Linked DNA regions of Saccharomyces cerevisiae S288C. The protein of the gene in region 2 interacts with the protein of the main gene of each other region in a biochemical or structural test. Each region holds a gene or a part of one and is shown on either strand. Other genes may lie near its edges. The genes, in order: SML1, DUN1, TEL1 and DIF1.

What was found.
Region 1: of the proteins of DUN1 (region 2) and SML1, one has a biochemical effect on the other in vitro, tested with the Saccharomyces cerevisiae proteins (5 studies listed by BioGRID).
Region 3: of the proteins of DUN1 (region 2) and TEL1, one has a biochemical effect on the other in vitro, tested with the Saccharomyces cerevisiae proteins (one study listed by BioGRID).
Region 4: of the proteins of DUN1 (region 2) and DIF1, one has a biochemical effect on the other in vitro, tested with the Saccharomyces cerevisiae proteins (one study listed by BioGRID).

Annotation. Positions count from the first base shown.
Region 1 is NC_001145.3:152,563-160,197, reverse strand, and holds SML1 (ribonucleotide reductase inhibiting protein SML1), read right to left. Parts: upstream 816-7,635; coding exon 501-815; downstream 1-500. Other genes in the region: CMP2 (calcineurin catalytic subunit A), read right to left, coding at 1-18; HUG1 (Hug1p), read right to left, coding at 1,232-1,438; NTE1 (lysophospholipase), read left to right, coding at 1,940-6,979; 8-oxoguanine glycosylase OGG1, read right to left, coding at 7,197-7,635. UniProt on the Saccharomyces cerevisiae protein: Strong inhibitor of ribonucleotide reductase (RNR1) and is involved in regulating dNTP production.
Region 2 is NC_001136.10:279,807-283,719, forward strand, and holds DUN1 (serine/threonine protein kinase DUN1), read right to left. Parts: upstream 2,043-3,913; coding exon 501-2,042; downstream 1-500. Other genes in the region: DNA-directed DNA polymerase delta POL3, read left to right, coding at 1-359; guanine nucleotide exchange factor GET3, read right to left, coding at 2,306-3,370; BUG1 (Bug1p), read left to right, coding at 3,613-3,913. UniProt on the Saccharomyces cerevisiae protein: Transducer of the DNA damage signal. Phosphorylates SML1 on serine residues. Cooperates with the PAN deadenylation complex in the regulation of RAD5 mRNA levels and cell survival in response to replicational stress.
Region 3 is NC_001134.8:51,209-61,070, forward strand, and holds the start of TEL1 (DNA-binding protein kinase TEL1), read right to left. Parts: upstream 8,175-9,862; coding exon 1-8,174. Other genes in the region: 60S ribosomal protein uL14 RPL23A, read right to left, coding at 8,614-8,985, 9,490-9,531. UniProt on the Saccharomyces cerevisiae protein: Serine/threonine protein kinase which activates checkpoint signaling upon genotoxic stresses such as ionizing radiation (IR), ultraviolet light (UV), or DNA replication stalling, thereby acting as a DNA damage sensor.
Region 4 is NC_001144.5:1,008,354-1,015,046, forward strand, and holds DIF1 (Dif1p), read right to left. Parts: upstream 3,671-6,693; coding exon 3,269-3,670; downstream 1-3,268. Other genes in the region: ECM30 (Ecm30p), read right to left, coding at 1-2,892; CAR2 (ornithine-oxo-acid transaminase), read left to right, coding at 4,148-5,422; U4/U6-U5 snRNP complex subunit LSM3, read right to left, coding at 5,556-5,825; mitochondrial 54S ribosomal protein uL29m MRPL4, read left to right, coding at 6,138-6,693. UniProt on the Saccharomyces cerevisiae protein: Mediates the nuclear localization of RNR2 and RNR4, 2 subunits of the ribonucleotide reductase.

The DNA.
Region 1 (7,635 bases), on a different chromosome or scaffold from region 2:
TATAGCGTCTGAAGACATTGCGGGTTCAAGAAGAAGTACTGGCTCCTGTGTGACTCTATGGGAGGGAAGGAATATCTCCTTTTGTTTGTATCGTAGCAATTGGCTTAATACTGTTCCAGTTGGATATATGTTTTTTCTAAGGAAAAATAGGAGTCTTGATGAAAGGTATTTTTAGGACATTTTCTCATTTGTCTCGGGCCGAAAAAAAGCATTGATCAAGAGAGGGGGACAATGTTGGCGCTAGCGATATCTAGCTGTATCAAACGTATTATAGACTATCTTTGATAAAGACACAGAAATACAAAAATACGTAGAAGAGACATATATATATATATATATATATATGTATATAAAGGGAAAGGAAAATGCACGGGAGAGAATGTTTCGAGAATGACAACAATAGTAGGACGAGAGTCCCTGAAAAGAAGGGTATCTAAGAGAAGAAAAGAACAGAACTAGTGGGAAATGGAAAGAGAAAAGAAAAGAGTATGAAAGGAACTTTAGAAGTCCATTTCCTCGACCTTACCCTGGTTGAACATAGATTTTAGTTCGCCAGAACCAAATTTGTTGTTGTTCATGTCATGATCGATAGAGTTGAGTCTCTCCTCCAAATCCTTTTCCCACATTTCTAATGAAGAAGCGGAGGCAGAAGCGGAGCTGCCCATGGAGTTTTGAGTAGACAACATAGGAACCTCAGCCATAGGTGGCAAAGGCACCCTTCTAAATTCCGCCATGGTCACGGTACGCAATGTGGAAGGGGCTTGTTGTTGTTGGCAGCGATTTTGAGCGTAAAAGTAGTCTTGGGAATTTTGCATAGCGGGAAATTATTGAGCAGTTGAAGAGAGGTTAGTGAGACCGTAAGATCACAAAGGAGCAGATAAGACATTTAAAAATGGGAAGGGACAGCCAGGAAAAAAAAAGATCTCTTTTTATACCCGCTGAGGCGGAATCGGGCGAAACGGGCGATGTTCCAAAACAGTAACGATATGTTATGGCTATTTCCTTTTTGGGACGGATGACTTCCCAAAATGGCGACCGCGGCGGGTAGTGGAGCCCGTTTGGGCTCAGCGCGAGGTAACAAAAAAAAATTTCAAATGTTGGCCAAAAAAAAACGTCAATTATTCCTATGTACGAGGTCTAAACATAAAAACATATCTACTATATTCTGACGTATTTATAATCTATTGTTCTTTCCTATCATTGGCCTACAAAAAAAAAGAGAAGCATGCTCTTAGTTGGAAGTATTCTTACCAATGTCAGAAAGACCGCCGCGACGTTCGACGGCAATGATGTTGGCAGAAGGAACGTGATCCTTGGGGAATAAGTAGCCGGTCTTGACACTCTTGTTGACACGGTTGCTCATTGAGCACAAAGTGTCTTGTAGGACGACATCGTCAAGGAAGAATTGCTTTGGGTTAAGGCCTTGGTCCATGGTCATATAGTTTTTTTTTATTGCTGATGTGGTTTGTAGTTATATATATACGTATATTATTTTTCTTATAAGTAAAAGAACAAGAAAGGAAAGGAATGAAAGAAATAGTTTCGAAAAGACAATAGGAAACGCCAAAAATTCATGGCCTTTTATATGCTGGGAATCAGTTGCCTTCGTATCTCGTTTCTCGTTGCTGTGGAAACGAGATACGAAGGCAACCTTTACGTATTTGCCCTAATGTTTCCTTTTCGAGACCTTTGACACATCTTCTTACCCGAAACTAAAAACCTATATTAAAGTGCTTTTCAACCCTTTGAGTAAGTCCGATTTTTATTTAAACCCTTCTTTTTTTTTTTTTTTTTTTTTTTTACAGGTTATAAGGATCTTAAAAATCTGGGAAACTTGACACTTTTCTCGAAAGTTTATTAAGTTAAAGAAACACCACAAAACTCTAACGAATATAAAATAAACAAGAAAAGAATAGAAAGGCTTGGCTCTAGTTTTTGCATGCGTTCAATGAATTGCACTACGAACAACACCAACAATACCGGCCAAAACACGAAAAACAGTCTTGGCTCCAGCTTTAATTCCAGTAATTATACTTCTTATAGATTCCAGACATGTCTCACCGACCAGATTATTTCTGAGGCGCAGACGTGGTCACTTTCATCCCTCTTCAACTTCTCGTGGGTTGTGTCCTACTTTGTTATGGGTGCCTCTCGTATGATCTTCAGGTACGGTTGGTATCTGGCAACTTTATCGCTTTTAAGGATTCCGAAGTGGATCTTCTTCAAGTTACACCATGTTCAGTTCACTCTTTCCTTTTGGCTGATCCTGTTTGCCCTAGCCGTCATAGTCTTTGTGACTTACACCATCATGAAGGAGAGAATTCTATCCCAGTACAAGAGGCTGACCCCGGAGTTCTTGCCGCTGGAAAATACAGGTAAATCTGGCTCCAGCGCCAATATCAATGCAGCTTCCACTCAGTCAGCCAACGCGCCACCCGCCATAGGTTCCTCTACCACGGGTGCAAGCTCGATTATAGACTCAAAAAAGCATTCATTGAAAGATGGCAACGAAAACGAAACCTTTCTTTCATCTTACCTTGACCAATTTCTCAGCGCCATCAAAATCTTTGGCTATCTGGAAAAACCAGTCTTCCATGACCTGACCAAGAATATGAAAACTCAAAAAATGGATGAGGGTGAGATTTTACTGTTGGACAGTACTATTGGGTTTGCCATCGTCGTTGAAGGCACCCTGCAGTTATATCATGAAGTAGATCATTCAGATAAGGACCATGGCGATGAAACTGACCACAGTGACACGGATGGTCTTGACGACCAGGATAGAGATGAAGAAGACGAAGAAGAAGATGATGACATTGATAACTACGACACCAAATCTTGTTCTTCTAACCTCATCGATGAAGAAGATGAATCCGTTGGTTACATTCATCTGAAAAATGGACTGGGAAATTTTCAACTGCTAAATACAGTCAAGCCAGGAAACCCGCTGACCTCCCTCGTGAGCATTTTAAACTTATTCACGCATTCCATGTCCTCGTATGGCAACAGTAACTTTCCCTCTGAGTTATCGTCACCTATAGACACAACGGTGTCGGTCAACAATATGTTCTGCTCATCAGAGCAGAACTTCTCCAACACAGATTCCATGACAAACTCCACCAACAGCTTTCCAACGTTCCCCTCTTCAATGCCTAAACTTGTCGCCCGTGCGGCTACAGACTGCACAATTGGTATTATCCCACCTCAATCGTTTGCCAAATTAACCGCAAAATACCCACGGTCTGCTTCCCATATCATACAGATGGTTCTCACCAAGCTATACCATGTTACGTTCCAAACTGCTCACGACTACTTAGGTTTAACAAAGGAGATCATGGATATCGAAGTTTTACTAAATAAATCCATCGTTTATGAATTGCCTTATTATTTGAAAGAGGCCGTTATTCGTAAGTTTAAAACTGTAGATAAGTCGAGCGGATCGGCTGATTTAGAACCGAAACCCAAAAATAGTAATGCTTCCTCTAAATTGAAGAAACCGCCCAAAGCGAAGCCATCTGATGGTATCATTCAATCGCTTAAGATTGCTAACGCCAACGCTAACACAAGTTCGAATTCCCTTTCACTGAAACCAGAATTCACCCACCATCCAAGTTCGAGACATGTCGTACTGGGTTCAAGAGACCAATTTAATCCTGGTGATTTACTGTCAAATGTCCCACTGTCTAGAACTATGGATATTCTGTCACCCAACCCAATCCATAATAACAACCGCAATAAATCAAACGGTATTAACACTTCTACCTCTAACCAACATAAGCGATCTTCTAGGAGTAGCAGTAACAATGCTTCCGTACACTCTAAGAAGTTTTCTTCTTTGTCCCCAGAATTGCGCAACGCACAACTTAGTACATCGCCCTTGTCCTTGGATAATACTTCTGTTCATGACCATATCCACCCAAGTCCCGTTCATTTGAAGGGACGGGTCTCTCCAAGACCTAATTTACTGCCCACAACATCCTTTTCTGCTGCCCAGGAAGAAACCGAGGACTCTGCTTTAAGAATGGCTTTAGTTGAGGCAATGTTAACATACTTGGGTGTAAACAAAAGCAATATGTCCGTTTCATCTTCTTCGATAGCAAATATGTCTTCTTTAAACTCTCCTCAACTTAATGAAATGTATAGCCGCCGTCCAAGTAACGCAAGTTTTCTGATGTCCCCTCACTGTACACCATCTGACATTTCCGTAGCTTCATCATTTGCCTCTCCTCAAACTCAACCGACAATGTTAAGAATCCTACCCAAAGAATACACTATCAGCAATAAAAGGCATAATAAAAGTAAAAGCCAGGACAAAAAAAAACCTAGAGCTTACAAAGAGGAGTTGACACCCAATTTGGATTTCGAAGATGTCAAGAAAGACTTTGCACAAGGCATTCAGTTGAAGTTCTTTAAAAAGGGCACCACAATTGTTGAGCAGAACGCTCGTGGTAAAGGCCTATTCTATATCATTTCCGGGAAAGTTAATGTGACAACAAATTCGTCCTCGTCAGTAGTATCATCAATGTCTAAACCAGAGCAGGTTTCAGCCCAAAGTTCACACAAGGGTGAAAATCCTCATCATACTCAACATTTGTTATACTCTGTAGGATCTGGTGGTATTGTGGGCTACTTGTCCTCTCTAATTGGTTACAAATCATTTGTTAATATCGTTGCCAAGAGCGATGTCTATGTTGGATTTTTATCTAGTGCAACCTTAGAAAGATTGTTTGATAAATATTTCCTAATCTACTTACGGATTTCTGATTCATTAACCAAATTGCTATCTTCAAGGTTATTAAAGCTCGACCATGCTTTAGAATGGGTTCACTTGAGGGCTTCTGAAACTCTATTTTCACAAGGTGACTCGGCTAACGGTATTTATGTTGTCCTGAATGGTAGACTAAGGCAGCTACAACAGCAGTCATTGTCAAACTCCAATACAAGTTCCGAAGAAGTTGAAACTCAGAACATTATTCTAGGAGAACTGGCCCAGGGGGAGAGTTTTGGTGAAGTTGAAGTGCTTACCGCTATGAATAGATATTCAACGATAGTGGCAGTGAGGGATTCTGAATTAGCGAGAATTCCGAGAACATTATTCGAACTATTAGCTCTTGAACATCCATCTATCATGATTAGAGTTTCCAGATTAGTTGCTAAAAAAATTGTCGGAGATAGAACTGTTCCAGCATTAACAGGCGATCCATTATCTATAAAGGAAAACGACTTCACTTCTTTAATACCTCCAACGAAAGCGTCTTACTCTAGCTCTTTAAGTCATAAACCCCAAAATATTACTTCTGGCACAATTACTTTTAGAACCATCACTATCTTACCAATTACCAGTGGACTACCTGTAGAAGCATTTGCTATGAAGTTAGTGCAAGCTTTCAAACAGGTAGGAAGGACCACGATTGGTTTAAATCAAAGAACTACCCTAACACATTTAGGTCGTCATGCATTTGACAGATTGTCCAAATTAAAACAAAGTGGTTACTTTGCTGAACTAGAAGAAATGTACCAGACTGTTGTTTATATATCAGATACACCAGTTAAATCTAATTGGACAAGAACCTGTATTGCGCAAGGTGATTGTATTCTCTTACTAGCAGATGCTAGATCTCCATCAGCCGAAATAGGAGAATATGAAAAGTTATTACTAAATTCAAAGACTACCGCAAGGACCGAGTTAATTCTTCTACACCCTGAAAGGTATGTGGAACCAGGACTAACCCATAAGTGGTTACGCTATAGGCCATGGGTTCATTCGCATCATCACATTCAATTTAGTTTGACAGGAACAACCTTGATGAACGAAGGCAAAATGCACGTTTTGAATAATGGTGCCTTGGCATTAATGGATAAGTTGATTCAAACAGAATTCAGTAGAAAAACTCAACAGAATATATCAAAACTACTTCCAGATTCTATCAAGAACACCGTAGAAAACTTTTCTTCAAGATTCATGAAAAGTAAAAGACAATATTACACACCAGTTCATAGGCATAAAAATGATTTTCTAAGATTGGCTAGAATTCTTTCTGGACAAGCTATTGGACTTGTCCTCGGAGGAGGAGGTGCGAGAGGTATTAGTCATTTGGGTGTCATTCAAGCTATTGAAGAACAAGGTATTCCGGTCGACGTTATTGGAGGAACATCGATTGGTTCCTTTGTTGGCGGTTTGTACGCGAAGGATTATGATTTGGTGCCAATTTACGGCCGCGTGAAGAAGTTTGCTGGTCGAATTTCCTCTATATGGAGAATGTTAACAGATTTAACCTGGCCGGTTACTTCTTATACTACTGGTCACGAATTTAATAGAGGTATTTGGAAAACTTTCGGGGATACAAGAATTGAAGACTTCTGGATCCAGTATTATTGTAATTCTACTAATATAACCGATTCGGTTCAAGAAATACATTCCTTTGGTTATGCGTGGAGGTACATCAGAGCTTCGATGTCTCTTGCTGGTCTTTTACCTCCTTTGGAAGAGAACGGGTCTATGTTACTGGATGGTGGTTATGTTGATAATTTACCAGTAACTGAGATGAGAGCGCGTGGTTGCCAAACTATATTTGCAGTAGATGTAGGTTCTGCAGATGATAGAACGCCTATGGAATATGGTGACTCCCTAAATGGGTTTTGGATCATTTTCAATAGATGGAATCCATTTTCTTCTCATCCAAACATACCCAATATGGCAGAGATTCAAGTTAGATTGGGTTACGTCGCATCAGTAAATGCTTTAGAGAAAGCGAAAAATACACCAGGTGTCGTTTATGTGAGACCACCTATTGAAGAATATGCCACATTAGACTTTAGCAAGTTCGAAGAAATTTATCATGTGGGTGTAGACTATGGTCGTATCTTTTTGCAAGGGCTTATTGACGACGACAAGATGCCATATATACCTGGTTCACAAGAAACCACTTTGAATTCTCAAGTTCCTGAGTTTTTATTACATAGAAGAAATAGTATTTGATAGATTTCTATCTTCCAACGCCTTGGTGACCGTTTTTTGTAGATAGATTTAGGTATTGCATTGTTTTTTACTGTATTATTTATCGTTCTAAATATTTGTGTTTTATACTGTAAATATCTCTAATATTTCAATCATTACCTTTCAAGCTCCTTTAAAGAATATGTATCGCCTTTTCGGTCGCGTGCTTTTATCGTGGTATTTACTATGACTTTTTAAGCTAATCTATTTTTGCTTCTTTGATGTGAAGATCAGACAATTCAACTTTCAGTTTCATTTGTTTCGTAACAATTGCTTCCGTTTCCTTTATCATATCCCATTTTCTCTTCTTTATAGTACCAGTTGTAGTGCTACCACTAGTCCCTCCGATTTCTTTAGAGAATAGGACACCTTGGGCCCAACCAGCGTATGATCCCCATTTTTTAAAAAGCATTAATCTAATATGGTCGAGCTCTAGGTTGATTTTTTTTCTTGAGATAGGTAAGGCGTTGTATTTTGTCCTCAATTCTTTGAGATGGTTCTTGTTCGCAGATATTTGGTAGTCCCTCTTCGCAATTCTACTAACATGGACATCTACGGGGACGATGCCATCCATGTGAAGTCCCATTAGACAAACGCAATCAGCAACTTTGGGGCCTACACCATTGTAGGACATGAGG
Region 2 (3,913 bases):
CGAACGGTATGTTCGTTGTGAAATCCATTAAAATTAACACAGGCTCTCAAAAAGGAGGCTTGATGAGCTTTATTAAAAAAGTTGAGGCTTGTAAAAGTTGTAAAGGTCCGTTGAGGAAAGGTGAAGGCCCTCTTTGTTCAAACTGTCTAGCAAGGTCTGGAGAATTATACATAAAGGCATTATACGATGTCAGAGATTTAGAGGAAAAATACTCAAGATTATGGACACAATGCCAAAGGTGCGCTGGTAACTTACATAGTGAAGTTTTGTGTTCAAATAAGAACTGTGACATTTTTTATATGCGGGTTAAGGTTAAAAAAGAGCTGCAGGAGAAAGTAGAACAATTAAGCAAATGGTAAAAAACGATAGGGTGGCACATCATATTAGGATTAAGAAAGGCTAACAACTTTTTGCATGTTGGTGGATATATATGTATATATAAATAGATACTTGGAAAAATCCAGATTCAAACAATGTTTTTGAAATAATGCTTCTCATGTTTAGAGGCAAGATAATTCTGAGTATGTTTTGGGTATTTTATTGTCAGTAATTTGTAAACGCTGCAATTCTAATGAGACCGAGCTTTGTTGCTGTATGTCATTGAACCAAGGGTGGTTCAAAGCTTCATCTATATTGTACCTTTCATCAGGATTTAGGACCAAAAGATTGGATATTAAATGTAGTACTGAGTCATCGATTTTATCCCAGTACGGAGAGTAAAACGCATACTTAGCTTGTAAGATCTGTTCCTTCAATGAAGGTGGCCCCAATTGATCACTGAATGGAGGAAAACCACATAAACAGACATATAATATGACACCAGCACTCCAAAGATCTACTTTTGATGTGTATCCTTTCTTTGTGAGGACTTCGGGCGCTACATAAGAAGGCGTACCACAAAGTGTGTTTGTGAATTGCATTTCTCCTGTAAATTTTGCTAGGCCAAAATCCGCTATTTTAACTTGAATATCAATTTCATCTTCATCCCATGGGCCAAGTTGGACTTGACTTGGATTTTCGCGCCTTGTTATATTTAATAAGATATTTTCTGGCTTGATGTCTCTGTGAATGATGTTTTGCTCATGCAGATACTTCAATCCGGTAAGTAACTGTTTGAATAGAGCTTTGGATTCATCCTGTCTCAAACATGTTTTTCTGACGATTCTTTCAAATAGTTCGCCATCGTCGATCTTTTCCAGTACCAAATATTTTTGAATCTGAGATTTGCTGATTGGCTCTACAAAACTATCTAGTAAGTTGACAATGTTTGGATGTTGCACTCTCATTAGGATGTTAGTTTCCTCCCTAAATTGTTTATTCTTTTTTTGGTCGTCATTTTGCTGAGCGTGGAATATTTTCACAGCTACTTGCTGACCAGTTTTTTTGTTTTTGGCTTCTTTCACCAGGGCGTAGTGCCCTGCACCTAATTCTTTACCTAATAAATATTTATCAAAGAACGACACAGGCCTTGTCTTATTCAGTTTTCTAATTGCGGCACTCGTTGTAGCATTTTGGCTACTTGTAGCACTTATTTGCGGTTTCTTGAAAACTTCGTCGTCGTTCTTATATGAACGACTTTCTGAACTTACCTTTTCATCGTCATTTTCGATGTCAGTAGAAGATGAAGATGCGTACTTGAACAAAAAGGAGCAACTTTTGCCAAAGACAATTCTGTCACCATTCTTAAGGATGTAGTCTTTCTTCACCAAACGATTACCATTAATAAAAGTTCCGTTTCTGCTCTTATCGATAACATTAATCAAATTTCTTTGGAAATTATCCACATCCATTTGCAGTAGATGAAACTCAGCATGGAAAGTCGAGATGTCAGGCTCACTCAATATAACGTCGCACGACCTACTTCTACCGATTGTAGTAACGTTTCTATTTGTTATTTCCACTTTTTGCTCCTTTCCGGGTATTAAGTTCACCAGATGGCCCAGACAAGTGTATTCTGAGCTGGGCTTATTACTTCGTTGCTGTCTTTTGAATGAAGAGTCAGTTACATCACCAGAGTGCTCTCTTTTCGTGGACAAACTCATCTTCACTATAATTGCCTTTTTTACTGTATGTTAAGCCCCTTTACTTGTTACTCTCGACTATAAAGGGTTCTCATTTCCTCCTTTTTCAACAATATCTAATAATTTTCCAAAATCATTTGAAAAATACCATGGAAATAAAATGGAAAAAAGTAAACAAACGCGTCGCGTCACGTAATTTTTTTCTTTTCACACACATACCATCGTATTACTATTTTTTCTATGGTTATATGTCGTATGTATCTATTTATGGTATTCAGGGGCTTCTATTCCTTATCTTCTAACTCATAAATGACTTTGCCATCAGTAATAGGGTTATATTCTTTGTTTAGGAACTGTGAGAACTTTGTTAAGTTATTTAAGCCTCTGATTTCTCCAGCACATAATGGCATTTTAACGACATGGAAATCTTCGTACAATTCGTCGATTTGGTCCAAGTACTTCTTTTGCATCTTCCATCTTGCCTGACATCTCTTACAGTTGTGCTCTTGATCGTTTTCAGCAAATAATAATTGGTTGACAATGATGGAATTAACGTCCATATCGTAGGAAATCAATTCCTGAATTAGTCTTTCAGTTTCATATAAGGATAAGAATTCACTGATACAAACGCAAACAAAAGTCGTTAGGTCAGGATCCGTGAATTGTTGTCTGATGGTCTCGACATTAGCCTTTAACTCGTTCAATTTTCCAGAGATATCGACATTACCTGCGCCCATAAAAGAGTTTAGCATTGGGCCCAATTTGTTGGTAATTTCACCGAACTTTTCCAAAAGCTTGGATAAAGTATTTGGTAGTTGTAGAAATCTTAATGTGTGGCCAGTTGGAGCAGTGTCAAAAATAACAGTATCGAAGGTTTCACCTTCGCCCTGTTCTTGCCTTTTAATGTGCTTCATGACTTCCATGAAGGATAAAGCTTCGTCGATACCAGGGATGGAACCGGTCAAATCAGCAAGAGCACCACCTTGAAGCAAGCTTCCTAGATCGTCACCTTGACCGTCACTTCCGTTATTGTTAGCGCGTGAAACTGCCATGTCGTTCATATCCTTCAAAGCAGCGGATGGATCGATTTCCATACATGATAGATTATTCATGCCTGTCACCTTTCTGGCGTCTTTACCAAATTTCTCACCGAATGCATCACTTAAGTTATGGGCAGGATCAGTAGAGATCAGTAGGAACTGTTTGTTTGGTTGACTCAAAGCCATTTGGATAGCAATGGAACATGATGAAGTAGTCTTACCAACACCACCTTTACCACCAACGAAAATCCACTTATGAGTGGTAGAGGTAATTAAAGAGTGCAAATTAGGTTCCACGGTTAAATCCATAATTACAATGTGATGATCTTCTTGTTCTTGTCGTACGTTTTCCTAAACGCTGCGTTGGCTTCCCTCAACTTGTTTGAAGTTGCCACCGTTTTATCCATTTTCGCTTTTGAAAAAAAAAAAATGGTTGAGAATCCCCAGCACTATTAATTAGTACTATTGTTACGAAGATCTTGTGATAAAAAAGGGATGTAATAATTTGCATTGAACCAACCTGAATTGAGCAAGTTTATCATATAGTTACAATGTCTGAACAGGAGTCTGATGAAGTTAAGCGTATGAAACAATTGGAAGAGGCTAGAAAGAGAGTAGAAGAATTGAAGAAAAAGAAAAATAAAAAGAATAAAGGTAAGAAGAATAAAAATAGCAGTGCCACAGGCTCTATAGGATCTGAAACTCCTGATTTAGAGGGCACACCAGGCGAAGAGTCCACACAGGAGGAGACTGTGAAAGCAAATTCCACCAAAAGTGAAAACAACGATCAAAATGACGTGGATGAGGAGAGTGAAGAAAAAGAAATAGAACAGGTTAAATCAGATCCTTCGG
Region 3 (9,862 bases), on a different chromosome or scaffold from region 2:
TTATCGAAATTTGTAATTTCATGTTCTTCTTCAAATAAGTGTTCGTATTTTTTAACTGGTGACATTACCCAGGAATAAAGGGGATCCCATTTTAAGATATTCAAAACACACATCACCTTGACATAATCTTTTCTTAATACTGCGTAAACTCTTTCACAACTCCGCCTGAATAGGCCATCCACGCCTGTGACTCCAAATCCATCAACGATATCTCTAGTTAATCTGAAAGGGACCAACTCTGGAATGGGGAGTAATTTTCCCTGATCAAACGCAATTCCCAGGTCTATATGAATAGGCTCCCCTGTTGAGCAGTCAAGCAGGATATTGTTTAAGTGCCTATCACCGAGGCCTAATATGTATCCAACGATAGAGCTAGCTGCGACACCTTTTGTGTACGTTTTCTTAGCTTCAAACCAATCCAACGGATCGGGAAAGGAATCAAAAAAAAAGTTTCTTAACTGCGGTTTTATTTCATTAGTGATTTTTAAATAAGCTTTCAGCCTCTCTTCATTTGATTTTGTTTGAACTGCTTTCATGCCTTTTCTTGCCTGATCGAAGGTTATCTTATCGTTGGTATGTAGCTTACTCAAAATTTGATGTAATGATGTAGAATTTGCGACAAATTCAATGATTCCTGCCTTTGGTCCTAATGGAACCACTTTGTATGTTCTAATACCCAGATCTAGATTTCTTAATACTTTATCATTTTGTAGAACTTTATTAACTTGTTGAAACACTTGTTCCATAATTGCATCTTGTCTCAAATCGTCATTACTTCCTTTCATCAAAGCTTTCTGCGTTGTACCATCTGAGATGTTGAAGGTGACTATTTTCGGCAGGGACAATCCTGTGGTAGTAATGCCTACTGTTTCATTGACGGATACAATATAAGGGCGGGCTTTTCTTCCATCAGCAGAACTTTTGACTGTAAAATTACTGGTCGGTAGGGGAAGCTTCTCCATGTTTAGCTGTTTCAGCCAATATTGGCCAATCTTCAAATTAGCTAAGCGTAACGTCTTCGTATTTTGCACAAACTTAAGATTAGCTAACTCTACAGACATCTCGCAAAACTCTTGCACAGGAAGTAAATACTTTTTCGCAAAGGCACCCCTGTCATATCCTTGCAATTCTAAAAGAATCTTTTTGACAGCTTGAATTTTTTGGGATATGTTGGTGTCCTTATTGGATTGCTTTTCATATAGTAGTATGCTCATCACTGAATAAAGGGAGTCATACGGTAGTTTGTAAAGAAGTCGTTTCATGGTTAGTTGCAATGGCTTTTGAAATTCATTCTCCTCCATAGATATTTTTGACGCAATCTGATTGACCCAGGGCAAAAACTTCCAGCTCGGTATTGTTCCAATTTCTTTATATAGTAATTGATTGATCTTGCTATTGTCATCATTCTCGAACCATAAACCACAAAACTTATCAATAATGTCATTATCATATCTGTTGCTGAAAACTAAGGTATTGAGATAGAAATGGAGTGCATGCCATAAAAATTTTTCTTTTTGAAGAAGCAGTGCCTTTAGTACTTCAGAATCTCTATTATATTGTAGCAAGACACGATTATAATGCCTTTTCGCATCTTTTCTTTCATTTTCTGGTAATTTTGTGTTTTTATATATCAGCTCCAAAGCTTTCAAGGTAGATTTTCCAGTATATGACCTATGTTCTCTATCTTCGATTTCTCCATTTGATCGTAACTTTTGTGCCTGTTCATCCAGAAAACTTCCGAGTGTGTAGAAAACATCAGAACATGATTCATGATCTTCGACATTTATATCCCAATTGACAATGATTTTTTCATATATTGCAGCAGCTGGTTCAAGCCTTGATTCTGAGCTCCATTTAACTAGTCGAGCTTTAATTTGGTCCATAGGCACATTAATGAGTAGCTTAAAATCGTCATAAAGGATACTTTCGCTAATATTCTTCTCATTTTGAGCTAAAAGATCTCTCATTATCATTACAGGTGCCTTGTACTCTCGAGACTCCCAGAGGGCATTAGCAGATGTGAAACTTGCCAATTTCTCAATTTGAGATACTACAGAGGGATCATCGTATAATTTTGCAATATTCTTCACTGTTTTGCTCATTAGAGTGGCATTTCGTAACGCATCTTGAGGCGCACCATTGGCAATTGCCAGCTGAACGTAATTAGCAAGCTGAATAATGGATCCAAGGCGTAAATATTTCGAGCATTTTACGTTTTCATCTAATGAATTCCTCGAGAGCACATTCATTAAAGTATGTCTACTCTTTAACGTTGTTTTGTGATCATAGAAGTCTATTGTATTAAGTCTCTCCTTATCGGCCTTCATAATAGACATCAATGTTTGGGGGAAGGAAGTAACGTCCTGAGGGATTGCTGCTATTTTTATAAATTCAATAATCGCGTTCAGAGTATCCATCCATTCAGTTTGGCTAATAAAATGTTGTCGAGAATCAAAAATAGTTAATAAGGATTTTTCTAAACTTTTTTCAGCAAAACCAACGTCCTGTGGTAAATTTTTTATGGCATAGTATAAACCTTTGGCTTTGGAATCAACAACTTTTGGAGTCAATAGCTTCCAGTCTCCCAATTCTAAATTCCATTTGTAGACATCACTGGATCCAGAAAGTCTACTTTCCAATAAGCTTGTCAACCCGTAGAAACCGCTATCTTCTGTGGCCTTGATTAATGATTCCTTTTCCTCTTCTAGTGAAGTAGTGTAATTGGCATCAAAATCGGCGTTGTTGAAAAGAAAACGTTTCCACGTATCTGAGTCAATTCTATTGATAGAGTTCAAAACACCCTCTATTGAGTGTGGAACAGGTAAGCCTGCTAGAAAATCGCCGTCATTTATGCATTCGTAAATCTTCTGAAGTGTATTTATATTCATTTCTCTTATGTTTGGCATGTTCATTTCCTCAAATAACAAATAGCCAAACTTGAACTCTTTTATTTTAAGAGAAATTTGACATATTTCTTGTAAATCTAAGCTAGAATATATGCGCAGACAGTTTCGTTCCTTGCATCTAGAACCCATCCTAATCATTTTAATTACATTGAAAAGCATCTTTAGCTTTATCTCAGAATCTTTAACATGCAGCAACATTGCTATTTGAGTGAATATTCGATTGCTCCAATTCAAACAGCTTTTCGGATCGTAAGTCGTTGAAAGAAAAAAGAGGTCAGTAAGTACTAATTCACAAAAAGCTGTTGATCCTTTGCATAAAGGATACAAGCAAACAATAGGAGGTATATTAAATGATATTTGGTGAATCAAACTACGGGCGAATTTGCTTAGCCAGCAGTTGTAGGGTTCGTTCACTGACAAATAAGTATCGCATATGAATGATTCCATCCCAAAATTGTTTGCCAACGGGTATATAGCATTCAGTACATCCTTGTCCAATGGAGCAACTTTATCTTTGTTCTCGTTCATTATGTTATCCCTAAAACAAAATTCACTTTCGCTATTTCCTATTGAGTAGCCCACTAGGTACGTTAGAATGCACTCAGAAATAAAAAACACTTCAGTAGAATCATATAACTCAGCTTCTTTATTGAAGGTCGAAATACGTTGGTATATCATATGTGGTTGTTCGGGATGGCGAAATACCATTTCAAAGTTTTTCAAATGAACTTCATTATTAAAGTTTGTAGATCTCTCTCTTTGAACTTCTTGCTGTAAAATTCTTCTTGAAAGAGCAGCGAACCATAGTTTGAAGTTTTTACTCAAATATTCCTTTGGAACATGGTGTTTCAAAATGTTAATTGCAGCAGCTTTAGAAAGCGAACAACCGATTTTTGAAGCTACCGGTCTCCTGGCATAAGAAAAGAGTAAAGAAACCAATACAACATCGTCTACGCCACAATCACTAGCATCCAAAAGTTCCGTATTTTCATAAATATCATCTTGGACTATATTTCCGAATATTGCATCAAGGCAGTATTTCCAAGTTTTTATTTTGATGAGATCCCGATGCTCTAAAAGCTTTATAGCCTGCTGGAAGGATGGACTGAGCTGTTTGTTTTCCCTCAAATAAATGAATATTTTGCAAAATAAATTGGGCAGAGATGGCTCTATTTCAAACGTATTTTTGTCAGCCAGATTTAACAATGAGCTGAAAATTGTTATTACTTCATCGTGAATTTGTGTATCTATTAAGAATTTTGAAAGCCGAATTATGATGAAGTTTAAAGTTGATGATTTTACAAGTACATTCTCATACAACACAAAAAGATATTTTAACTCCCTTGCACATCGCAGTTTTCCTATGTAAGTCGATGTCTTTTCAAGGTCTGTAATAACCGATAAAAACAAAAGCTTGAATTCGTGTGTGTTGTTCTTTTCATGAGCAAACTGCGTCTGAACTAAGGTTGCTCCTAATGCCAAGGGTATATGAAGTGGGTATTGATACCTCATTGAAACACTGGAATTTTCAAATAAATATGGCGAAAGGTATGAAGTTGGGAATAATTTTTCAACAGTAGATCTAAGTTCAGTAAGTGAGCCCAAATCAGTAAATCTTATGATCCACTTTAACATCAGTAGACGGTATTTTTTATGGTATTTTACTGTTGTTTTACCTGATATTTGGGGCAATATATCAAATATTAGTTCATTCACACCGCCACTGATAAAGGCAAGTGGAATACACAAGTAATAGCTGTTATCCACCAGATAAGCATCACCGTTTCCAGTAATCGCGTGTAACATGTCTAAGATCCATTTTTGGTTGAAACCTTGAGAAAAGTAGATTGCAGAAATTTCTACAAAGTATCTTCCTAAAAATTCATGAATATCGGCAAATCCAAAAAGAGATATATCCCATTCTTTCTCCAATTTAGAAGTAGGGACTTTTGTTCTGTTAAACCAGTACATAATCAAATCAAACTTACAATATTCGAAGAGCTCTGTAAGGTTTTGGTAGCGAAAAGCGACCGTAATTTTGTTCAGAGCTTGTTGGATAAACGCACGAGTATGATTGAAGCCAGAGTATGTCATCATATCCTCCAAAGAAAAAACTAAGCTTGGGTAAGACACCAAAGACAACATGGACATTGCAAGAGAGTAGAAAGCGGACTTTTCAATACTTTGCTGAGGCGGACCAAATAAGCTCTTAATCTCATAAAATATGATACTTTGATTCTTATAGCTCACTTGGGCCATATAACTCGAAATACTGTTCATTATGTTAATAATATTGGAGGAGTCTAGCTTTTGCAGGCATTTAATAAAAGTTGCAAAGACTCTCTGCTTCCCACCTCTGATTGATCCGTGGGAAAGATCATGATTTTGAAGTAGGCTAAGCAGCAGCATAGAAAGGTTGACCGTAGGGGCCACACCAGTGAAAGAATTGTCCTCAAATCTAGATATGATCCAGTCCAGGATATCATTGCAGTCCGAATTCAAAGGCTGCTCGGGGTAAGATAACCATTGAGGTCTTATTGCTTCGATATAAGATGTAAGTAAAAGCATAGCTTGATTGGAAGAACTATAGTGGTTGCAAAGCAATTTTTCACCCAAGACTTCAGTGAATTCTTCCAGGATTTTGTTGTAAGAAGATTTCTCCCCGATTGCTTGTTTTAACCACTGGCAAACAGTGCCAAGATAAGATATAAATACATCTGTGCTAACGCAATCAGAAAATTCCAATATGGCTACCAAACGCTCTGAAATGGATTTATTTCTTGAAGACCATAGGTAAGCTCGCACTGCTTTATCTATAGTGGAGTGCAGAGGCTTCTGAAATCTACCTCCAATTGTGTACGGACTATTATTCTGGGTAGTGTCTTCTGAAGAGGCTTCGAAGTAATTGATGGCAGAAGTTCCTGTTTGAGATTTGTTTTTTTGCATCCTGATAAAATCATTAACGATTTCCTTCATATTAATTTTGTCAAGCACTAAATGGTCTACATTTATGGTCCGTATCGATAAAACCTCCTCAAAAAATGATTGGTAGGAGTTTTGGCTATCAAAACTAAGTTGTGGAATAGTTATTAAGGTTGTTCTCTTATATGCTGCAATAAACTCAGAAAAAGTGGAATCTCCACAAAGATTATCAACTATTTGTATTAATTTTGCTACCCAAGTAAATTTTTGTAGTGGAGATGAAAATGCATCACTTTCAATATTTTCCAGTAATCTGTAAAGAATTTCATTATAACGTGTGAGGTCTAAGGAAACTTTTGGTAAATTAAAAAAGGGAGTGTTAAAACATTCTGACTTTTCTTCTGGTTTTACGCCTAAAAGAAATTCCCTCTGCTCTTGAAAATGTTGCCAAATCTTGTGGCTTTCATCCCAACATAGTGAGACAGGATTAGCTCCTTCGCCTTTTTTATCGTTGAAAGGGTTCTCTGGGTCATATTTGTTACCTAACCAGGATATAAAATTGCAGAACTGATCCTGTTTAGCATCAGTTCCGCGCAACTGGTTCCACTTTGATTTTAGCCACTCAAAAATTCTATCAGCGGACGATATACCGTTCATAGATTGGAAGTCTTTACCAACGTACTGAAGGTATCCCCATAGCATGAACGATTCATTAGTAACTAATATGGGACCCAAAATATCGGATAATTCGTAAAGATCATATATCTGATTGATAGTTTTCTCATCGGATAAAAGCTGCTTTGAAAACTTTATGGAGTTGGCTAATAAAAGACAACTTAACTGGCAAGATTCATTTGATTTTACTAATGGTAAGCAAACTTTAAATAGGCGTGCCATGTCGCCATTGCTTAATTCGCATTCTTTTTGGGATAATAAAGGAATAAAAGAAAAACAAACCCAATTAAAGCATTGGATTTTTTCGAATTTTGAAAACAGAAGTTCTTTCAGCTGTTCTGCAAAACTTTTAGTGAAGTCTTGTAAAGTTCCATAAAATGAGCACAATTGTAATCCTAGCACTTCAAACTCATGTGAGCTGTTCTCCTCTAAAAGATGAATAAGAAATGTGTCCATATCGTCAGAAATCCGTAGGATAGAAGGTATATCCGAATCACATTTTCTTCTTTTAAATAATAATGAGTAATTTTCATTTTTTCTGTTCAATGCAAAATATGTTAACAATGATTTGGTAATTCCGAGTATTTTTAACCACACCGATCTGCCTCCCCTATCTCTAAGTCTAAAATCAGGTAATGCAAACCATGAATTTTTATCCCTTGAACCTCGAATATATGAGAATTCCACATGGTTTACGGTAAATAATTGAGGCTTATAATTACTTAAGCGCAGTAGAATGTACTCACGGTATAGAGATACAAGAGATTCGGACCGAAGCTCTTCAACATAATTCTCTTGACCAATCATATAAGGAAGTTTATGGTTCATTAGTTCACTTGACATAACATCAAACAGTGATAATTGGTCTTGTACTAGCTCATTGGAAGTACAGCCAATTGTCAGGTTGTAACTCCATGCTTCTTTTATAAGCATTAGCGTATCAATAACACTAAAACAATGGCACTTCAAAATTAATTGATTTATTAATGACATTATTAATCTCGTATTTCCATTTTCTTTTTTGCTGAGCCTCAAAAAATCTATTACGGTCCAAGTAATTGTCCTTGTCACTTGAAATATACCAACTGTGTCTAACGCCAATAAATTCAGGAGGATCGATATGAAATTGGTCAATGTTTTGTCTACCATAGATAATTTCATTTGGCTTTGAAAGTACTCGCAAATTTTATCGACTAAGGATATCCATTGGTGTATCATGAATTTCAGTTTGAAAGGGTCACTTTTAATTAGGGCATCCAAAGCAAACGATAAATGTACTGAAACGGCATCCAATAAACTTTTGGAACCATCTTTGACCATTAATTCAGGTACTACTGCTAAAAGTAACTTCAACGTTTTCACTTTAAATCTCTCACATGATTTTTCTACAAATAATCTTAAAACGTACGATATCGTGGAGAGTCTGTTCTCACTAAGTGATAGCTTGTTTGTGGTTGACACTGTCAAGTTTCGAAGAAGGTCACAGTATTTTGTGTGTTCAGATGCAAGTAACTCTACCAAAGCTTCTGCCGTTGTAGATAGGGCCTTGGTTGGTATCCTTTCCGGATCTTCTTTTAAAATTGTTGTTAGCTCATCTAAAGCATTGTTTCTCTCTTTGATTTTTGTTGATGATAGAAAGTTTAAAGTTTCTACAATCCCATGATCCTCCATCGTCTATGTTACACTGATTTCCCTTTTTCTTTGAAGGCTTTTTTTTCGAATTTCCTGCTTTTTTTGCGAGGCTTTGAGAAGTCAATTAGTCTTGATTATTCTATTAACTTGGAACTAATTTACCTTGAAAAATGTCAAAATATGCATATTGTACGGCTGGTGCCATACTTGTTTCTCACTAGCAAAACATTCTATCATCTGTTATTCTTACCTTCTTAACGTGTCTGTTTGCTTTTTTGACGTACCCCAAAAAATATATAGACCCTCCTATCACGCTCATAATATCATGTGATTCTCTCGATGAACGATAATAGTAATATTTTCATCTAAAAATGCAATGAATTATTGAGTTTCTTTAATCTGTTTAAGAGATTGTTATTTATAAAGAAAATATATATAATTGAAGAATCTAAGAGTATGAGTCAAAATAATTTCCTTTTTACACAACAACACCGGAGTTAGATGCAACTCTTGGCCATAAATCGGCACATTCCTTACCGACTGGACCAGTGATGGCGGAACCCTTCATTTCACCCTTAGGATTAGCGATGACACCAGCATTGTCTTCGAAGTACAAAAAGACACCGTCTCTTCTTCTCCAAGACTTAGCTTGACGGACAACAATAGCTGGCATAACCTTCTTTCTCAATTCTGGCTTACCCTTCTTAACGGTGGCCATAACCATATCACCTAGAGAGGCGGCTGGCAATCTGTTCAATCTGGAACCAGAGCCTTTGACGGCGATAATGTACAAGTTTCTGGCACCACTGTTGTCAGCACAGTTCATGATGGCACCGACTGGTAGACCTAACTAGTTAAAAAAGATCTCAATATCGGGGAGTGAGAATAATTTTGTTAGTAAAAGCATAGGGAGAAAGTTAGCAGATGTGGTTAATCTTGAAAAATAGAGTTAAGCGTGATTTTTGTAGAAATAACATTTCGATGGTTATCCATTAGTATGGGCAAAAGAGGGAGTTAGGATATGCTTGCCGTGTATGATTTTGAAACCAGAAATTTTTGAGTCCATGAATATTGACAGGTATCACTTCATCTGCAAATACAGCCCGCTTAACCATTTAAAAACTGAATTTATGTGTGTAATTGCATCTTTGGCGGGGCGGTACCAGTGATGGCACATCTACCATTCTTATGGAAAATAACACCGATAGGTATATGATCAGGCTTCACACTTAGTGTTTAGCGTCTTTTAAACCTCTGTTTAATTCTGTTGTACCCAGCAAAATGAAATCTTGGAACTTTACTTTATGATCAATTTAACCAAATTGCATTGTGGAAAATAAAAATTTTAACATACTGAGATTCTAAACTTAGTACCTTGAGCACCGTTACCGGACATTATTAGTTATATATAGGTGTGTTGGTTTTGTATTGCTTGTAAGACCTAAGAGTCAAAATAAAGAAAGTAAGAGATTTTTAGCTACTAACCTTAGCAATACGATGGTATTACTATTAGCGGGAACAGGTACATTATGGCTACAGTTCGTTTCCTGCCATATTAATTTTTCAGCCCGAGCGTGTTTGGGTTTGATATTTTCTTTTTTACCTCTTTTTCAACATTTCCATGCAAGTCTGATGACGGTTGTACGGCTCGTTCTGTGAGCCGGATAAGCGATAAAAAAACTTGGTCTGTTGAAAATAATAACTGCATGGGTTTTTCAAAGCAGTTG
Region 4 (6,693 bases), on a different chromosome or scaffold from region 2:
ATGAATTGTGGTCAATATATCAGATCTAAGAGCCGACAGTTTCGATAAAGTTTCGAAATATTGCACCGATTTAATTCTCGGAATTTCAGGAACCTTCGACAAAATTTGCTTAATAACCCGCAAAAGAATTTGTAAATAAACTGTACCGGACCAAACTTCATTAAAATTTTCATATTTGGGATTTTTACATTTGTGAGTAAACGTTAGTGGTGTAGGCCATTGAGGTCTATGTGGCCAATACTCTAATTGATGTTGCAAATTCAGATTTGAATCTGACTTGAAATCAATGAATGCAATGACTTGGTAGTTCTTATCATGATTCGTACTTGAAAAATGCTTAACTGTCCCAGGTGTTTCATTTTCTAATGACGCAGGATTGAAAAGCAAATAAGGAGTTGGAGATTCGTTTTCTTGACCTGGGTCCTCATTTTGATTTTGGCCTCGATTGTCATTTTGGCCTTGTTGCTGATTTTGATGTTGTTGATTTGCTGAAGAATAAAGATTGACTTGAGGCAAATCAGTTATCTCTTCAAATTGATAGAAATCCTTCCATTGGACTTTCCGGTTGAATCCCATTTGCTTCAAGGTCATGATATGCGAATTTAAATTTGGATTCATGTCTAAGGCCTTGGATATAGAATTTATAGAGTCATTTATTTGGTGAGTGATGGACTGATGTCTCACCATTGCAAATAGTAGATTCTCCGCATCGTCAAAATATAAGGTGAAAAATATTGTGATTGACCTTAATAATAACGCCAACAAATCCATTTTGAAACCCGGTGAGATCATATACGGTATATCTTTTGTCTTGAAGACAGGCGTAGCGTAAGTTGTCAGATAAACCTTATTTGATGACTTAGAAAGAACGTAAAGTAGGGACATTGCAGCATTGTAGGATAGTTTGGACGAGGATGTATGACTAGAGGTGGCTGCACTTGGTGATGCGGACTTCTTCTTTGCTGATAATAGAATTAAATCGTCATGTGAATCATCATTTTTGTGAGAACTGGTCAAAATTTCGTCATTAATTGGCAGCAGATTGTAAATCAATTCATAAAAAATCGGATTCGGTTGTAAATTGAATTTAATGTTGTCTAAAATCAAATTCGATAATTGTATGACTGTAAAATCTCTGAACGTCAAATTATTTATATCGCCGTTGATGTTGGAGAGTTTGTAGAAATTTGGCAAATTATTTGTATAATAATTAAGGTTGAAAGTCTGTAGCATTTTGAAGAGAACAAGTTTTTTTGAAGTCAAAATCAGGAGAAGATGATTGAGTAAAGGTAACAAGATCTGTGAAACGCTATTTTCGTTCAGTTCCACAATAGAACGCTCGTTGCTCGTATCGTTAGATGTGCCGTTGCTCGTGGTGGAAGAATTCGAGCGTGTTGTTGATGAAGACGACGACAACGATGAATAATCATAATACTTTAAATAGTAGATGGAAAAAATGATGAATCTACTTGCAAACTTGTCTGCAAAATAATTTTGGAAACACTTATTGCAATCAATCAAGTTTGTCATGAGAATAGTCATAGGTATCAACAAAGGATGAATCTCTGGTAATTGTGGCTTTGTTTGCGGTTTCGTATGGTATGCCGCCGATGATGAACTAGGCAACGAAGCATGCGAAGATGAACTGTTATCGTGAGAGCTCGTCGACACGGCTCTCCTTCTGCTGGCATCAATATGTTTATTGTTTGTGAAGTTAAAAATGTTTGATTCTTGTTCTATGGCGAGATCGATGGGGTATTTGAAAATTTTAATGAAACTAGAAAGAATTAATTTTAAATCGTACTCTCGCTGTAATTGGGTGAGGAAAATGGTAATGACATTGTCTTGGGCCTTATATGACATGGAGAGATTTAAAACGTGCAGACAAGACTGCACAAATTGAAAATAAAGCGTCTGCCAATTACTTGCGGTGGCGTCGGAGCTGAAAAAATTAGCCTTCAAGCTCTGGAAGTCTTTATTATTGTTAAGTATAAACCGCATCGTGCAATTTAATAGCGAGGAAGTGAATTGAATGCTTTTGTCCTTAGGCATTTGAGTACACCAGTAGACAAGAAACATGTTTATGTCCTGTTTACCGCCGCTCGTGTACAAGTCCGAAGAAAATAAAGCTGCCAAAAGACGTAAAAGAAGCAGTCTATTGGCAAAAAGATGCCACTGATGATGCATATTCAGTAGTGAGCGGTACTTGTTGGAATTAGTCAAGATGCCGATTTCCCACAATTCGCTTGGGTGGGCGGTCACGGCAGTTGTGAAATTATCTTGGAAAGCCAGTTTCAAGATCGCCAACAGTAGTCTTTCTCCCAGTGGGATGTTTTGCAAGGGAAGACCCTCAATTTCATGTTGCGTGGCCCAAAAGACATCGTAATGGTCCTGCGTGCTAGACTTGACCCGGTCAAAATAAATAGGTATGAGGATGGAAAGGGTCTTTATGGCGTTGATAAGCCGCGAAGAATGAAGTCCCGTACGGGAAGCGGGCAAGGAGTTCGCGGAAAGAATAATGTAGAGCGAAAGGAAGACAATCAAGTTGTTGAAGTTGGGTGGGTTCAAACTAGAGATAATGTGCAGGATTTTTTTAAAACTAGAGTTAATGCTGAAGTCCTGCACGTCCACTGATATGAAGTCCAAGTAAAAATCGTTGAAGACGGTATCTAGCGGGACATTTGGTTTGTCGCTGAACAACGCTTCAACGTCAGGCCCAGAATCCAGCTTAAAAATTGACAGGTTTAAACTCAACGGATCAGCATCAACTGAAAGGGAGGGCGAGGGCGACGACGTACGTGAAGGGGAGGACGCATCTGCGTCCTCCGGTCGAACCAGAGCGATGCAGTGGTTCAGCAGGATCGAACTGGATTTGGAGTCAGTATTTCCCATTATGCATAGCCTAAGGGAGAATTTTTATGGTTTGATTTGTGTGTATTTCTTTCTCTATTAGCTTTTTCTCTGATTTGTTTGCTTATCTACCTGTACGTGTATGTTGTGTACTCAATAAATAGAGGTCTTTTTTTTTTTTTTTCTCCATAGGTTTACCCGAAAGAAAAAACACCGAAATTAAGCACGTAAACCGGCGGAAAAGCAAGGAAAAACCCCCTGAAGCCAAAGCAACTGCGATAGTTTTTATTATTTGTTATATCCTCTATAAAAAATGTGCGAACAAGAGAAAAGACTATATAAAGAATCTATAAAAGAGAAAGTAAAGTAGGAAAAAGAGAGAAAAAAAGAGAGAGATAAAAAAAATTGTGCAAGTCTGTTAAAGTCTTCTCTTGGATCCATTAACCATTGTTTCGTGCTCCGCGGCAGGTTCCGCGACGTCCCATTTCTCGAGCGAGGACGCCTCGGTCGACATTGTTCTCTGGTTTATCAGCATAGGTGGTAGCGAGTTAGCAGTGGGCAAGGGCGACCTTGTAAATTGCGGAACAATAACGCTCGAGTAATCTCTAATGACACCCGGCTGTAGTGAAGCGTCCGAGGTGCTCGGCGTCCTCGATGCATAACCCTGGTCGACCCGCTGTCTGATTCGCATACCCACAGTCATCAACTGGTCCTTGTGGAAATCCTGTTGCTGCTGCTGCTGCTGCTCCTGTTGTTGTTGTTGTTGTTGAAGCTGTCTCTTTGGGACGAGGCTGCTTGCCCATTCCAGTTGTGCGTCCATTAAGTCTTGTTTGTTCCTGTATTAGTGTGTGATGTAAAGCGTGCGTTTCTTGATCTGGGTTCTCTTGCTGTTTCTTTTTCTTTGTTTTCTTCTCCAATCCTTGCCTGTTGCTACTAGATAAATAAATACCCCACTGGCGGGAAAAAGAAAAAGCACACACACAAACAAACGAGAAGAAAAAAGCGCGTGGTACGAGCCGCGCTAATGAGGAATAGAACCCATGCACCACACGCAAATGTGCGCACGGACAAATTCTGCCCTCTGTTAACGGCAGGACCTGGCGTCCCCTGCCGTTAGCGGCGCTAGCCGACGCCGTAGTCGCGTGCCCTTGCCCTTAGCGGCTGACTGGCTGACTCGATTGCATATATAAATTGCGGCCACCATACGTTGAGTCTTGTTGTTATATGGCGGTTGTTCGTATTACAGCAAAGGATACTACACCACAAGACACCACAGCAGCACAGAACCACAACACCAATGTCCGAAGCTACCCTCTCCTCCAAGCAAACCATTGAATGGGAAAACAAATACTCCGCCCACAACTACCACCCCTTGCCCGTCGTTTTTCACAAGGCTAAGGGCGCACATGTGTGGGACCCGGAGGGTAAGCTGTACCTCGACTTCCTGAGCGCTTATTCTGCCGTCAACCAGGGCCATTGCCATCCTCACATCATCAAGGCTTTGACGGAGCAAGCACAAACACTAACATTGTCCTCCAGAGCGTTCCACAACGATGTTTACGCGCAATTCGCCAAGTTCGTGACCGAATTCTTCGGGTTCGAAACCGTTTTGCCCATGAACACCGGTGCAGAAGCCGTGGAAACTGCTTTGAAGTTGGCCAGAAGATGGGGGTACATGAAGAAGAACATCCCTCAAGATAAAGCCATCATTCTGGGTGCCGAGGGTAACTTCCACGGGAGAACCTTCGGTGCTATCAGTTTGAGTACCGACTACGAGGACTCCAAGTTGCATTTCGGGCCTTTCGTGCCTAACGTTGCCAGTGGTCACTCCGTGCACAAGATCAGATACGGCCACGCAGAAGATTTCGTCCCTATCTTGGAATCTCCTGAAGGTAAGAACGTTGCCGCCATCATTCTAGAGCCAATTCAGGGTGAAGCCGGTATCGTCGTGCCCCCCGCAGACTACTTCCCAAAGGTCTCCGCATTATGCCGTAAGCACAACGTCCTATTGATCGTTGACGAAATTCAAACCGGTATCGGTAGAACCGGTGAGTTGCTTTGCTACGACCACTACAAGGCAGAGGCCAAGCCTGATATTGTTTTGTTAGGTAAGGCTCTCTCAGGTGGTGTTCTTCCCGTCTCATGTGTTCTGTCTTCTCACGACATCATGTCTTGCTTTACCCCAGGATCTCACGGTTCTACTTTCGGCGGTAATCCTTTGGCTTCCCGCGTTGCCATCGCCGCCCTCGAGGTCATCCGCGACGAGAAGCTGTGCCAAAGAGCCGCCCAACTGGGTAGCTCTTTCATCGCCCAATTGAAAGCTCTCCAAGCCAAATCTAACGGTATAATCTCTGAGGTGCGTGGTATGGGACTGCTTACCGCCATCGTAATCGACCCATCCAAGGCCAATGGTAAGACCGCTTGGGACTTGTGTCTATTGATGAAGGATCACGGCCTCTTGGCTAAGCCCACCCACGACCACATCATCAGATTGGCTCCTCCTTTGGTCATCTCCGAAGAGGACTTGCAAACCGGTGTCGAAACCATTGCCAAGTGTATCGATCTGTTATAATATTAATACGCATTTTTTTTATGTTTTCTCGTTTCTTTTCTTTTTTTTGTTTTATATCTTACACATTTTTAATATACTAAAAGTAAAATAAAAAAATACGTACTGTTTCCCTTTGTTTTCTCCTCCTCTTTGCTTATATCTCCACTGCGCCATCGTCATCTTCAGAGGGCGTGCTGATTAGAGTCACTGTGTCTCCTCTGATGAACACCATTTCACATCGTCTTTCGGACTCACTCAACTCCTCGTTGTTTAATTGGTATATGGTCTCTACTGCATCACTCAGCACGATGTTGCAGTGTGAGTCGAACGCTTGCAGTGTGCCCACCAGCGTCCTGGCCCCGCGCAGCTTGATGTACACCCTCTCATCGAGATTGAGTTTCAATAAATCCAAAGGTGTCTCCATTTTCTTGAGTGTGCGTGATGTTGTGTGTGTGTGTGTATTTATCTGCGTGTCTCTCCCCTGTTGTATTGGTTGCTAGAATGGATGGAAACATCCTGCCTCTTGTTTGTTCAAACCTCAGCTTTCTTGCTTTTTTTCTTCTTTCAATATCGCGACCTATCACACAGCACGGATAGCCAAAAGGGCGCATCAGGAAGAAGAAAAAATATCATTTCAGCAAACTAAAAGAATTGCCCTGAAAGCTATCGAGCCCTGGTAAGAGAGTACCATTCTATCTCTGCGGCTAGAAAAAAATACCATAAAAATATAATAAAAATGTGGAAGAGATCGTTCCACTCCCAAGGAGGGCCCCTGCGTGCCAGAACAAAGTTTACCAAACCAAAGCCAAAACAACCGGTGCTTCCCAAAGACAAAATAAGACCGCCCACTCAATTGACTCATCACTCCAACAACCTGAGGATTACCGAACCAATCCCACCAACAACCTCAAACCTGCGCTGTCCCGACGACCACCCGCTGTGGCAGTTCTTCTCCAACAAGAAATTCATCAGGTCCGCCGACGACTTGCCGCCTTCCAGCCATATCAGACCCTGGAGCATCCCAGAGTTGAGGCACAAGTCCTTTAACGACTTGCATTCCCTTTGGTACAACTGCCTCAGGGAGCAAAATGTGCTTGCTCGCGAAAACCATCTCTTGAAAAACATTGTTGGCTCCACGCATGACGAATTCAGTGAGCTCTCTAACTCTATCAGAACCACCATGTGGCAAATAAGACATGTACTTAACGAAAGAGAGCTGGCCTATAGCGCTTCACGCGAATTTTTACAGGATGAATCGGAGAGGAAAAAGTTCTTGGATACTTTGGCCAACG